2 linked regions of the Saccharomyces cerevisiae S288C genome follow. The protein of the gene in region 2 interacts with the protein of the main gene of each other region in a pairwise test. Each region holds a gene or a part of one and is shown on either strand. Other genes may lie near its edges.

Region 1 (3,061 bases), on a different chromosome or scaffold from region 2:
GTATATATATATATATATATATATATATTAGGACCCAGAGAACAAGGTATCATATATTAATTGTCTTGCCAACTATGTAATTTGGCTGTTACGGAAGACCCACATCAGGCGGCAGAAATGGTTTTAGTTAAGCAGGTAAGACTCGGTAACTCAGGTCTTAAGATATCACCGATAGTGATAGGATGTATGTCATACGGGTCCAAGAAATGGGCGGACTGGGTCATAGAGGACAAGACCCAAATTTTCAAGATTATGAAGCATTGTTACGATAAAGGTCTTCGTACTTTTGACACAGCAGATTTTTATTCTAATGGTTTGAGTGAAAGAATAATTAAGGAGTTTCTGGAGTACTACAGTATAAAGAGAGAAACGGTGGTGATTATGACCAAAATTTACTTCCCAGTTGATGAAACGCTTGATTTGCATCATAACTTCACTTTAAATGAATTTGAAGAATTGGACTTGTCCAACCAGCGGGGTTTATCCAGAAAGCATATAATTGCTGGTGTCGAGAACTCTGTGAAAAGACTGGGCACATATATAGACCTTTTACAAATTCACAGATTAGATCATGAAACGCCAATGAAAGAGATCATGAAGGCATTGAATGATGTTGTTGAAGCGGGCCACGTTAGATACATTGGGGCTTCGAGTATGTTGGCAACTGAATTTGCAGAACTGCAGTTCACAGCCGATAAATATGGCTGGTTTCAGTTCATTTCTTCGCAGTCTTACTACAATTTGCTCTATCGTGAAGATGAACGCGAATTGATTCCTTTTGCCAAAAGACACAATATTGGTTTACTTCCATGGTCTCCTAACGCACGAGGCATGTTGACTCGTCCTCTGAACCAAAGCACGGACAGGATTAAGAGTGATCCAACTTTCAAGTCGTTACATTTGGATAATCTCGAAGAAGAACAAAAGGAAATTATAAATCGTGTGGAAAAGGTGTCGAAGGACAAAAAAGTCTCGATGGCTATGCTCTCCATTGCATGGGTTTTGCATAAAGGATGTCACCCTATTGTGGGATTGAACACTACAGCAAGAGTAGACGAAGCGATTGCCGCACTACAAGTAACTCTAACAGAAGAAGAGATAAAGTACCTCGAGGAGCCCTACAAACCCCAGAGGCAAAGATGTTAAGTTAGATTTTCATGGGCCCACTGATATATAGAAGGCTAAATAACGAGAATCATATATACTGTAACATGACACCTGCTGATTTTTACTGATCGTAGCCATTCGGCTCATATTACTTCATGTCCCTTTTTTAAATCCCTCGTTCCCGGAGAGTGGCATAGCATGTCCGATAGCGTACGCCAACCTACAGAATCAGGGGATCAGATTTCCTGAAAGCAACTTATCCATCAGTTTCTTTTTATAATGCCATAATGACAGGTGTGCCTTTCTTATTTTACTTCGCTTGCTTTCTTTCTATTGCATGCTTCAATCTTTGAATATTTGCTAATAGTGAAAAAAAAAAAGGAAATAACTATCTGGTTTATCTGCATTGTTCTTCGTTTTTCAATTCAAGAATTTAAGCAAAAGGATATATCATAGAACCTAGTGAATTTTTAAGAAAGTAAGATAAAGAAAAAAATCAAATGCTGTTCAGCTGGCCTTATCCAGAAGCCCCGATTGAAGGTTATTGGGGCAAGCCAACTTCTCTGATTGATTGGTGCGAGGAGAATTATGTCGTATCCCCCTATATTGCAGAATGGTCAAATACTATTACCAATAGTATATTCTTAATGACCGCCTTCTATTCTACATATAGCGCTTGGCGTAATAAGTTAGAAACAAGGTATATATTGATAGGAATGGGGTTCTCGCTGGTTGGTATTGGTTCGTGGTTATTTCATATGACTTTACAGTATCGTTATCAATTGCTAGACGAACTACCAATGCTGTATGCGACCATCATCCCATCGTGGAGTATTTTTGCAGAAACTCAAGAAATCTTGATTAAGGATGAGAAGAAAAGGAAGGAAAGCTCATTTAGAATCCAAATGGTCATTTCTTTTATCATGTGTGGTATAGTCACCATTTTAACCTGGATTTACGTTGTCGTCCAAAAGCCAGCAATTTTCCAAGTCCTTTATGGTATATTGACGCTTCTAGTTGTGGTTCTTTCTGGCTGGCTGACCTACTATCACGTTCATGATTCATTTGCAAAGAAAAATCTTTTTATTACTATGGTTATGGGCATGATTCCTTTTGTCATTGGGTTCATTTGCTGGCAACTAGATATTCACCTGTGTTCTTTTTGGATCTATATCCGGAGAACATATTTGGCCCTGCCATTAGGTGTTCTATTGGAACTGCATGCTTGGTGGCATCTTTTGACCGGTACTGGTGTCTATATCTTCGTCGTGTATTTGCAATATTTGAGAATATTAACCCATGGAAATCCAAATGACTTCTTATTTATATGGAGGTGGGGATTTTTCCCTGAGCTGGTAAGAAAGGGCTTACCGATTGGTACTTCTTATTCACTGGAGTATCTGGGGCCAATTGTAAATACACAGGTAGATGATGAAACAAAAAAGAATAACTAAGGAGTGATTTTGTGCCATCCATTTGAATCTTCAAAATATATGTACGTATATGTTATGTATGTATATAAATTGTTGTACGTGCAATTGACCGAACGTGTATATTTGTATATAGATATGTGACAAACTAAAGAGCTTACACTTCGTTCCTTCCCTTCTGTTCACCTTTTTTTATTATGCCTGACTATTCTAAAATTTATGTTTATGTGGCGTAAAATATCTTTCTTCTGAAAACACATGCAGCAGTTACTCCCATCATAAAAGGAATTAATAAATGAATAGTATAAACAATTATTTACTTAAATATATTTAAATTTCTGCTTGGAAAACCGGCCATGTCGGCGGCACATAAAAGTTCTATTTACCTTTAAATTCTTTTCGACATGTATGGACCGTCTAGTTCATATCCTAGTTTACCATAGTAATTTCTTACACCAACACCAGAAATAACAGAAATTTTCTCTGAACCATGCTCTTCCTTGGCGATTCTTTCCGCTTCTTCC
Region 2 (10,101 bases):
TTGGTAGTCAGGAATCACCTGCCTTTGTGTATCCTTATTCATTGTGGAAGTACACCTCGAGTTCATATGGTTTTGCTGTTCAACATACAACAGTAGATCAATATAGCTACGGTGGTTATGACAGTTCCGGTAATGCAGAATATTTGGTCAATCCTTTGGGAATTGCTCATGTTGTTTTCTCAGCTTCGAATTTTGATTCAAGTATGACTATGCAAGTTGATGAAATGACCTTGTCTTCAACAAGGGTAGTGCTATCAGAATCCAATGATTCTTCGAACTACCTGGAAATACCTTTGGTTCAAGGTATGGGATTTGCAACTGGTATATATCATGGATCTTTAAATGCCAAGATTGGTTCCAGCGTCGGATTCAATACCATTGTTTCTGAATCATCAAGCAATTTAGCTCAGGGTATTCTCAAATATCGTATCACCCTTTTGAATGGAGTCACTTGGTTATGTTACGTGATAGGACCAGACGATTTAACCTCAACGGACTTTTCATTGGAGGTGAGCTCAGAATATGAAATTAAAGCAAGCGCTAGTGTTGATGGTCTTATCATTCAATTGGCCGTCGCACCTTCTGAAACTGATTACGAGGTCTTTTATGATCAAGCCGCAGGTATGTACGTTACTAATTTCAAGCTGCAGGGTGTCTCTGACGGTTCTACAGCTACCTATGAATTTTCTTATACCACCCAAGGTGAGTCGGCATCAGGTAGCACAATGATTTTTGCCTTGCCCCATCATGAATCTTCATTTAGTGATATAATGCAAGACTACTATACCGGCATTCAACTCGCTTCTACAACTAAGGGTGTAATGAACGGTTATCTAACAACGAGCCTACAATTTTCCACATCTCTAAACAGACAAATATCTTGGTTACCATGGTCTTCTCAACTTGGCTCAAACCTTTTAGAGTATTCTAAAGAACAATTGCAATTATTAGCTGAAGTTGCCAATTCCGAATTACAGGTTAGTATTTCCGAAAGTATAAGCGGGTTAAACACATATTATTTGGGTAAAGTTATCGATAAGTATTCTTACATTCTATTAACGGTCTCCGAAATCATCCAAGATGAAGCCAGTACTAAGAGTACTTTGGAAAACATCAAATCGGCCTTTGATATTCTGCTACAAAATGAACAGACGTATCCACTAATTTACGACACAAAGTTCAACGGTTTGGTCAGTTCAGGAGATTGGGGTTCCACCAGCACGCAATACGATTTTGGTAACACTTATTACAATGACCATCATTTCCATTATGGTTACATTATTCATGCAGCTGCTGTCATCGGCTATGTTGACTCTAAACTGAATGGTACTTGGGCTGCCGACAATAAAGATTGGGTCAATTCATTGGTAAGAGATGTCGCAAATCCATCTGAAAAAGATGAATACTTTGCACAATCGAGAATGTTTGATTGGTTCAACGGTCATTCATGGGCAGCTGGACTTTATGAAAACGGTAACGGTAAGAACGAAGAAAGTAGTAGTGAAGATTACAATTTTGCCTATGCTATGAAGTTATGGGGGGCCACTATCGGTGACCAGTCAATGGAATTGAGGGGTGACTTGATGATTAGTATAATGAAGGATGCAATGAACGACTATTTCTATTATCAAAATGACAACACAGTTGAGCCTGAAGAAATCATAGGAAATAAAGTGAGTGGTATTTTATTCGATAATATTATCGATTATACTACTTATTTTGGAACAAACACAGAATATATCCACGGTATTCATATGCTACCTATCACACCAGTTTCTTCTAATATTCGTTCTGAGACTTTCGTCGAAGAAGAATGGCAGACTAAAATCGAGCCAATTATTGAATCGATAGAAAGCGGCTGGACAGGCATATTGAAGCTGAATCAAGCACTCTTCGACCCAGTAGATTCGTATGCATTTTTCAGTGATTCAACTTTTGATTCATCCACATATTTGGATAACGGAATGAGTCGCACATGGGCATTAGCATTTTCAGGGGGACTGGCCAACTCAATTGCTTAGAAAGAGAACTTGGCAAGCAGGTCTGTCGAGTCTTTCCCACTACATACATATTTTATAGAATAAATCATTTTTACTTAACTTGAAAGTTGTTGCGTTCGAAAAGACCACGGCTAACGGAGACCACTTAGGTAAATGCATGCCAGTAAGAGGTATATTAGTACTTTAATGAATGAACTTAGCAAGGTAATGCCTGCACTAAAATAAAATTCTAACGTCATCCTAAGAAGCATCAATTGGACATAGTGAGGAAAAGTTTTCACCATTTAAAATTTGTTTTGCAGAATACCATTCTAGACTATGATCCCTTAGAGATTCTCATTCTTTAAATATCAGCTTCAACAGCATATCTTTATAGTATTATCGTACTACTGGCGACATTAGCAAATCAAAGTATTTTTGCTCAGTTTCTAGTTTTATCTGTTTGATTCCCCATTAGATGGTAAACACGTTGTCTTGATGACTGAAAAGGAAGTGAACATGGTCAACTCAAAATAACCAGACTCAAAATAATTGCAATTACCTAGGCTAGATATTTTTAGAATATTATGAGAATATTTTTAGAATATTTGCAACCCAAAATATATTTAAATGCCGCCAATTTGCAACCAAAAGATTATCCGCTACCTTTTTTTTAGTCATTGAATCGTAGCATAAAGTTCCGAGCTTTGAAAAAAAGCTTTGAACTAAGAAAAGGTAAGAGATCCTCAATTATGATATTACTCCAAGTCATATGCACGATTTGGACATGTCTCTTTATTCCGTTACTCAATGCAGAGGAATTCGTCCCCAAAGTAACGGAGACTCTTTCAGAATATTCATTTAGTCTAGAGAGCTTTGACGATTCCAACAGTTTAATCAGATTAGATAATCAAGTCGTGTGGATAAGTTCCGATTCTGGAGAAAATTGGGAAGCGGTCAAAGAAATTGAAGGGCATATTCTCGAATTAATTGTTGATCCTTTGCATGGACAGGACAGGGCTTTTGTTTCGATACATTTATCACCCAAATTTTACGTCACCGATGATCGTGGAAAATCATGGAGGGCTCTGACTATACCCGTCTCTGAAAACTGTCGTTTGGGTACTTCTTGCTCTATAGCTACCCATCCGACAGATAAAAAGTACCTTATTGCAGATTGCCCTTGCTTTATAAACGACAATGGTTATATCCAAATACAAAATGAAACTTACTTTACCAACGATGGGGAATCCTTTTACAATATCGAACCTTCCTTGAAAAAGAAAGAAGATGACCATATAACAAGTTCAAGCTGCAACTTTGTCAAATCTAGCAAGGATTCTGATATTGAGGGTAACGACGCTTCGATACTATGTTTGTTCTCGAACCATGGTTACGATAGCGATCGTCACTTAAGTGCCGCATATACACAATTAGCCTTAAGTACTGATGGAGGTAAAACTTTCAAAAAATTTGATGAGTTTAATGATAAAATTATTTATCAATACAAGATATTAAAATCACATATAATCGTTTCGACACAAGATGATAGATACAATGAAATGTCACCCATGGACATCTGGATATCCAATGATGCGTCTACTTTTCAAAAGGCACGTCTACCTGCTCAAGTACGGCACGTCCATATGTATGGAATTTATGAAGATTCTATTGGAAGAATAATCATTCCTATATCTACGATATTCACAGATGAAAAAAACGACCAACCAGCTCCCTCAGAAATTTTAATATCAGATTCTCAAGGGTTGAAATTTTTACCTGTTGAATGGACAATAAATCCTCACTTTGGTTATATTGATATTGCTTCTCCTCATTTCTTAGAAGGAACAATAATTGGCTCGTTTCATCCTTCCTTTGACTACTCTCATAACAAAGGAAAATATAATAAAAAGATAGCCAGATATGAAACTAAAATATCTGTTGATAACGGCCTCACATGGTCAAATTTGAAAGTGGTTGACGAGGAAAATGCAGATTCATTCCCTTGTGATATCACTAGGCCTGAAAGATGTTCGCTCCAGAACCCTTTTTATAGTATCTAAATCTCAAATCCTACTGCCGGAATTATGTTAATGACAGGTTCCGTTGGCGACGGTAGTGAATTCGATTGGGAAGACCAAAAAACTTTCATCTCTAGAGATGGCGGTTTAACGTGGAGATTTGTTCATAATTCTTCTGGGTTATATGCTACTGGTGACCTGGGAAATATTATTGTGTATATCCCATATGATCCAGAGGAAGATGGCGATTTTCAATCTGAATTTTATTATTCTTTGGACCAAGGTAGAACATGGAATGAATATGAGCTGACCAATGCCATAAGTTCTGTCCATCCCTACAAATTGATAAATCCAACACCAGATGGATCTGGCTCAAAATTTATTTTTAAAGGAACGTTTGCCACTACCGATTCCGAAACCAACAGTATAACTTCTTTAAAAGGTGTCGAGTATATAATTGATTTTTCAGCAGCATTCGACTCTAGAACGTGTGAGGAGGAAGATTTTGAAGATTGGGATTTGGCGGATGGGAAATGTGTTAATGGCGCCAAATACAAGTATAGAAGGAGGAAACAAGACGCCCAGTGTTTGGTAAAAAAAGCATTCAAAGATTTGAGTTTAGATGAAACGCCTTGTAATAGTTGTGGTGAATCCGACTACGAATGTTCGTTTGAATTTGTTAGGGACGCAAACGGCCTGTGTATACCAGATTATAATCTGATTGCCTTTTCCAACATATGTGACAAATCGAAGGATAAATCTGTGTTAGTAGAGCCATTACAATTAATCAAAGGTGATGAATGTAAAACACCCATGAAAATTGAACCCGTTGATATTCCGTGTGACGAAATTCCAGAGGAGGGTTCGAGTGACAGGGAAATAGTGACCACTGAAAACAAATTTGACTTCGAAATTAAATTTTACCAATACTTCGATACAGTTGCCGACGAATCTTTGGTCATGCTGAATTCGATAGGAGACGCCTATATATCCCACGATGGTGGACAAACAATAAAAAGGTTTGACACTAACGGCGAAAAAATTGTTGAAGTTGTGTTTAACCCATATTTCAATTCTTCAGCATATTTGTTTGGCTCTAAAGGTAACATATTCTCAACACACGATAGAGGACACTCTTTTATGATAGCTAAATTACCTGAAGCCAGGCAATTAGGTATGCCACTAGATTTTAGTGCTAAAGCACAGGATACTTTTATTTACTATGGTGGCAAGAATTGTGAATCAATCTTAAGTCCAGAATGTCATGCAGTAGCATACCTCACCAAAGATGGAGGTGAAACTTTTACAGAAATGCTTGATAATGCAATTCATTGTGAGTTTGCAGGCACACTCTTTGAATATCCGTCAAATGAGGAGATGGTTATGTGCCAAGTAAAAAAGAAGTCTTCAGAAACAAGAAGCTTGGTTTCTTCGATAGATTTTTTCCAAGGTGATAATAAAATTATCTTTGAAAACATTATCGGCTACTTGTCCACTGGTGGCTATATTATTGTTGCCGTACCTCATGAAGACAATGAGTTGAGGGCATATGTAACTATTGATGGTACTGAGTTTGCCGAGGCAAAATTCCCGTATGGTCAAGATGTTAGTAAGCAAGAGGCATTCACTATTTTAGGATCTGAGAAAGGATCGATATTTTTACATTTAGCAACAAACTTAGAATCAGGACACGATTTTGGAAACCTTTTGAAATCCAACTCGAATGGTACTTCTTTTGTCACTTTAGAGCATGCCGTTAATAGAAACACATTCGGTTATGTCGACTTTGAAAAAGTTCAAGGTCTTGAAGGTATTATTATTACCAACATCGTTTCGAATAGGGAAAAGGTTGGAGAGAACAAGGAAGACGAACAATTGAAGACGAAAATCACCTTTAATGACGGTTCAGATTGGAACTTTTTGAAGCCTCCAAAGAAGGATTCGGAAGGGAAAAAGTTTCCCTGTGATTCTGTATCATTAGATAAATGTTCTCTACATTTGCATGGTTACACTGAACGTAAGGATATCAGGGATACATATTCCTCCGGTTCCGCGTTAGGAATGATGTTTGGTGTCGGAAATGTTGGCGATAAGCTTCTACCATATGAGGAGTGTTCCACTTTTTTAACCACTGATGGAGGAGAGACGTGGACTGAGGTTAAAAAAGGCCCCCATCAATGGGAGTACGGTGATCATGGTGGAGTCTTGGTTTTGGTCCCCGAAAACGCAGAAACTGATTCTATTTCTTACTCCACCGATTTTGGTAAAACATGGAAAGATTATAAATTCTGTGGCGACAAAGTCCTCGTAAAGGATATAATCACCGTTCCCAGAGATTCTGCTTTGAGGTTTTTGCTATTTGGAGAAGCAAAAAACATGGGTAGTGGTTCATTCAGAACGTATACAATTGATTTTAGAAACATCTTCGAGAGGCAATGTGAGTTTGATATTACGGGTAAAAAAAGGGCAGATTTTAAGTACTCTCCTCTGGGTTCCAGAACTGGTTGTCTATTTGGTCATCAAACCGAGTTTTTACGTAAAACCGATGAAAAATGTTTTATTGGGAATATTCCACTTTCTGAATTTTCGAGGAACGTCAAAAACTGTTCATGTACGAGGCAAGATTTCGAATGTGACTATAATTTTTATAAAGCCAGTGATGGTACTTGTAAATTAGTCAAAGGCTTAAGTTCGGCGAATGGTGCCGATATCTGCAAAAAGGAACCCGACTTAATTGAATACTATGATTCCTCTGGCTATCGAAAAATTCCCTTATCAACCTGTAAAGGTGGGCTGAAATTGGATGCACATTTAGCACCACATCCTTGTCCGGGAAAAGAAAAGGCATTCAGGGAAAAATATTCTATAAACACCGGCGCTTATGCGCTGGTTTTTGTTACAATTCTTCTCGTTATTTTCTTTGCCGCATGGTTTGTATACGATAGAGGTATCAGGAGAAATGGGGGATTTTCAAGATTTGAAGAAATAAGATTAGGAGACGATGGGCTGATAGAAAACAATAGGACCGATAGAGTTGTCAACATCATTGTAAGACTAGGATTATGCATTTCTTTAATTACCAAGTCTGCATTTCAACGCACGAAGGCAGGTGTAGCACGCTTTTCTTCAAAATTAAGGGCAAGGTTTGGCAACAGAAAAGGTCCTACTTACTCTTCGCTGCTTCAGGGTCAGTTTTCAGATGAATCAGATGGCTTGCATGAAGATGCTAACGATTTATCCAGTTTCACAAGTCAAGACAGTAATTTTGAAATTGAACAAGAAGATGCTTACAGACCCGAACAAGAGCACACGTCACAGATAGACCAGCCTGCCACTAGCAATATTCCAGACGCATTGCCAGCACGTAGTGCTATTCACAAGCCTGATTCAACTGCTGTGCGCAACGAGGACGAGTAAATAGATTTTTTTAATAGACTAAATAATCGTATGTTTGCTAACAAAAAGTACGCATATGCATTTTCTCAATATTGTGCATTTTCTAAATCTCCATTCACCTTTGTTATTAACATAGTCATTTAAAGGTATGATAATTCAGTATTCATCTTTTCCACAGACGGCGCTGCATGCCATTCGTCTGTAACTTGCCTAGGGACTGCGCCGCACATAATCGTGACAGAAATTTCAAAAGTGATAGGAGCCAAAAGTGATAGGAGCCAAAAAGAACATATATAAGCACGATCAAATTAACTGAACTTGACCACTTTTCTTTCACTGTCAGAATTGGACGAAGGACAAAAATGTCAAATATCATTGCAAGATTTCACAAGATTCAAGTTCAAGACGGTGTAAAGGTTTGGTACCGTGAGGCCGGTGCAGCAGGTAACCCCACAATTTTATTGCTACATGGGTTCCCTACATCTTCCAACATGTTCAGGAACCTCATTCCCTTACTAGCTGGACAGTTTCACATCATTGCTCCGGATCTTCCTGGGTTCGGATTTACGGAAACGCCAGAAAACTACAAGTTCAGCTTTGATTCCCTTTGTGAAAGTATAGGATATTTGTTAGATACTTTGAGTATTGAAAAATTTGCCATGTATATATTTGATTATGGATCTCCGGTAGGTTTTCGGTTAGCCTTGAAGTTTCCCTCCAGAATTACTGGCATTGTTACTCAAAACGGTAATGCTTACGAAGAGGGTCTCGATGACCGCTTTTGGGGTCCGTTGAAGGAATATTGGAAGTCATATCAAAGTGATCCGGTATTTGTTAAATCCCTTATCCCGTACCTTGAAGATCCAGCTAATGTCATATGCCAGTACCATGATGGAGTACCAGCTATCGAATCTGTTGATCCCGCCGCTTATACGCTTGATATTGCGCTAATTCAGCGTACCGGCCAGACCGATATTCAATTGAGATTATTTTTCGATTATCAGAATAATATAAAGTTGTACCCAGCCTTTCAAAAGTTCTTGAGAGATTCAAAGATTCCTGTGCTAGTTGCATGGGGTGCGAATGATACTATTTTTAGCGTTGCCGGGGCTGAAGCTTATCGGAAAGACGTTGATAATTTAAAGGTTGTTTACTATGATACTGGCCATTTTGCGCTTGAAACTCACGTAGTTGCTATTGCCGAAGAAATCATCAGTATGTTTGCAGAAAATTAAAGATACTAAGTTCTTGTGACAATGTTTTCTGAGAAGAATCTCTCGTATTTTGTTTAATTGCCAAAAACACATATGTTTCGACTCACATAGAGTTGCCTCAGAGCGTTCTTTTGTTACCCATTATTGCTCATAAATAAGTCAAAACAGATGTCTGGTCGCATTATCAAGGGTTTGTACTGGTAGCCCGGTGACAATATATTAATCTAAGCATATAACATTTTTAGTAAGTTCTTCAGCCACCTTTTTTACGATCTATGTTGTTTTGAAGGGTAAACCTACTACCATGTCATATGGATCTTTCCCCTAGTAAACTTGTATCTCAAAAGGTCATTTCTGAATAAAGTGTCAAAAAATCAGCTAGGAAACGGTTTAGTAAAGTATGCGACCCCAAAATTCGACAAAGCTATCACCACTCAGCTGTACTGGACTGATCGGATATTTGATTATATCAATAAGGTTTTGTTCAATAGGAAGTACCTGAACTAAATCTTGCAATATTTCCAATGCTAGAATGTATTCAAATAGTTCAGTACCTTTAAGGAACTGCACCACCTGCTTATACCTTAGGAGTATAATACATGAAATACATAATGTCAGTGACGCTGTTCTTAAAGGATAACAAAAATTCCAATCCAAACGTTCATGCCTTTCCTTTTCGTTATCGGGAAACTGTTTAGTGTATTGACTCCATATTTCGTGAATTATTGATTTTGCCATGGTTACTGCTTGTAAGGATTCTCCAGTGATCAGATACGGACGATATAATAGAAAAGAAGCTTGAGCTCTTAAACATGATAGCTCTAACATTAAGACTCTGCTCCTGTAAAAAAGATGTTCTTCGAATATCGGAAAGCCTTTTAACCTGGTAATCTGGAGTGAAACCTCCTCAAATTCTCTTTCTAAGTTTACGAATGGTACCTCGTTTGCGGTGCTGGAAGTATATAGCCGTTGAAAAATCTTACTTTGTAGAGTGGCTAGCTTGATTCTGATTTGCATGAAATCTATCAAAAGTTTATTAGTTTTATTGCGGGGGGATATTTCACACGGCAGAGGTGTTGTAATTTGTTCCAAAGTGATAAAAGGATTTTTTCCATGAATTGTTGCCAACATGCAAGAAGAACACCAAATGTTCCAAAAAAGCAAGATCACACCAATTCCGTCGCTGTTCGACTCAAGTAATTCCTTGCATTTTGTATTGTTGTTCAAGTTTAAAGCCACAGCAAGTTGTAAAGCATTTATACTCAAATATAATTGGTGCTCTAAGGATATCATCATCGTCATGAAATTTGCCATTAGAACGAGGCCGCAAAATCCATCGATTGTGGGATGAGATAACAAGTCGGGAACAAGCGTTTTCGCAGCATTATAGTACTTAAAAGCATCAGTGGTCAGTTTTGAAATACTATTCTCCGGCAAAAGTGGACGATTGTCTATGTTCGAATGATTCAATAGTTCCCTTTTTCGTATGGT

What was found. Proteins that work in one complex are often made in the same cells at the same time.
Region 1: the proteins of YNR065C (region 2) and YDC1 interact in a protein complementation assay, tested with the Saccharomyces cerevisiae proteins (one large-scale study listed by BioGRID).

The regions. Positions count from the first base shown.
Region 1 is NC_001148.4:381,848-384,908, forward strand, and holds YDC1 (alkaline dihydroceramidase), read left to right. Parts: upstream 1-1,607; coding exon 1,608-2,561; downstream 2,562-3,061. Other genes in the region: YPL088W (aldo-keto reductase superfamily protein), read left to right, coding at 118-1,146; Elongator subunit ELP3, read right to left, coding at 2,926-3,061.
Region 2 is NC_001146.8:747,666-757,766, reverse strand, and holds YNR065C (uncharacterized protein), read left to right. Parts: upstream 1-4,066; coding exon 4,067-7,417; downstream 7,418-10,101. Other genes in the region: DSE4 (endo-1,3(4)-beta-glucanase), read left to right, coding at 1-2,021; YNR066C (uncharacterized protein), read left to right, coding at 2,732-4,042; YNR064C (epoxide hydrolase), read left to right, coding at 7,759-8,631; PUL4 (Pul4p), read right to left, coding at 9,001-10,101.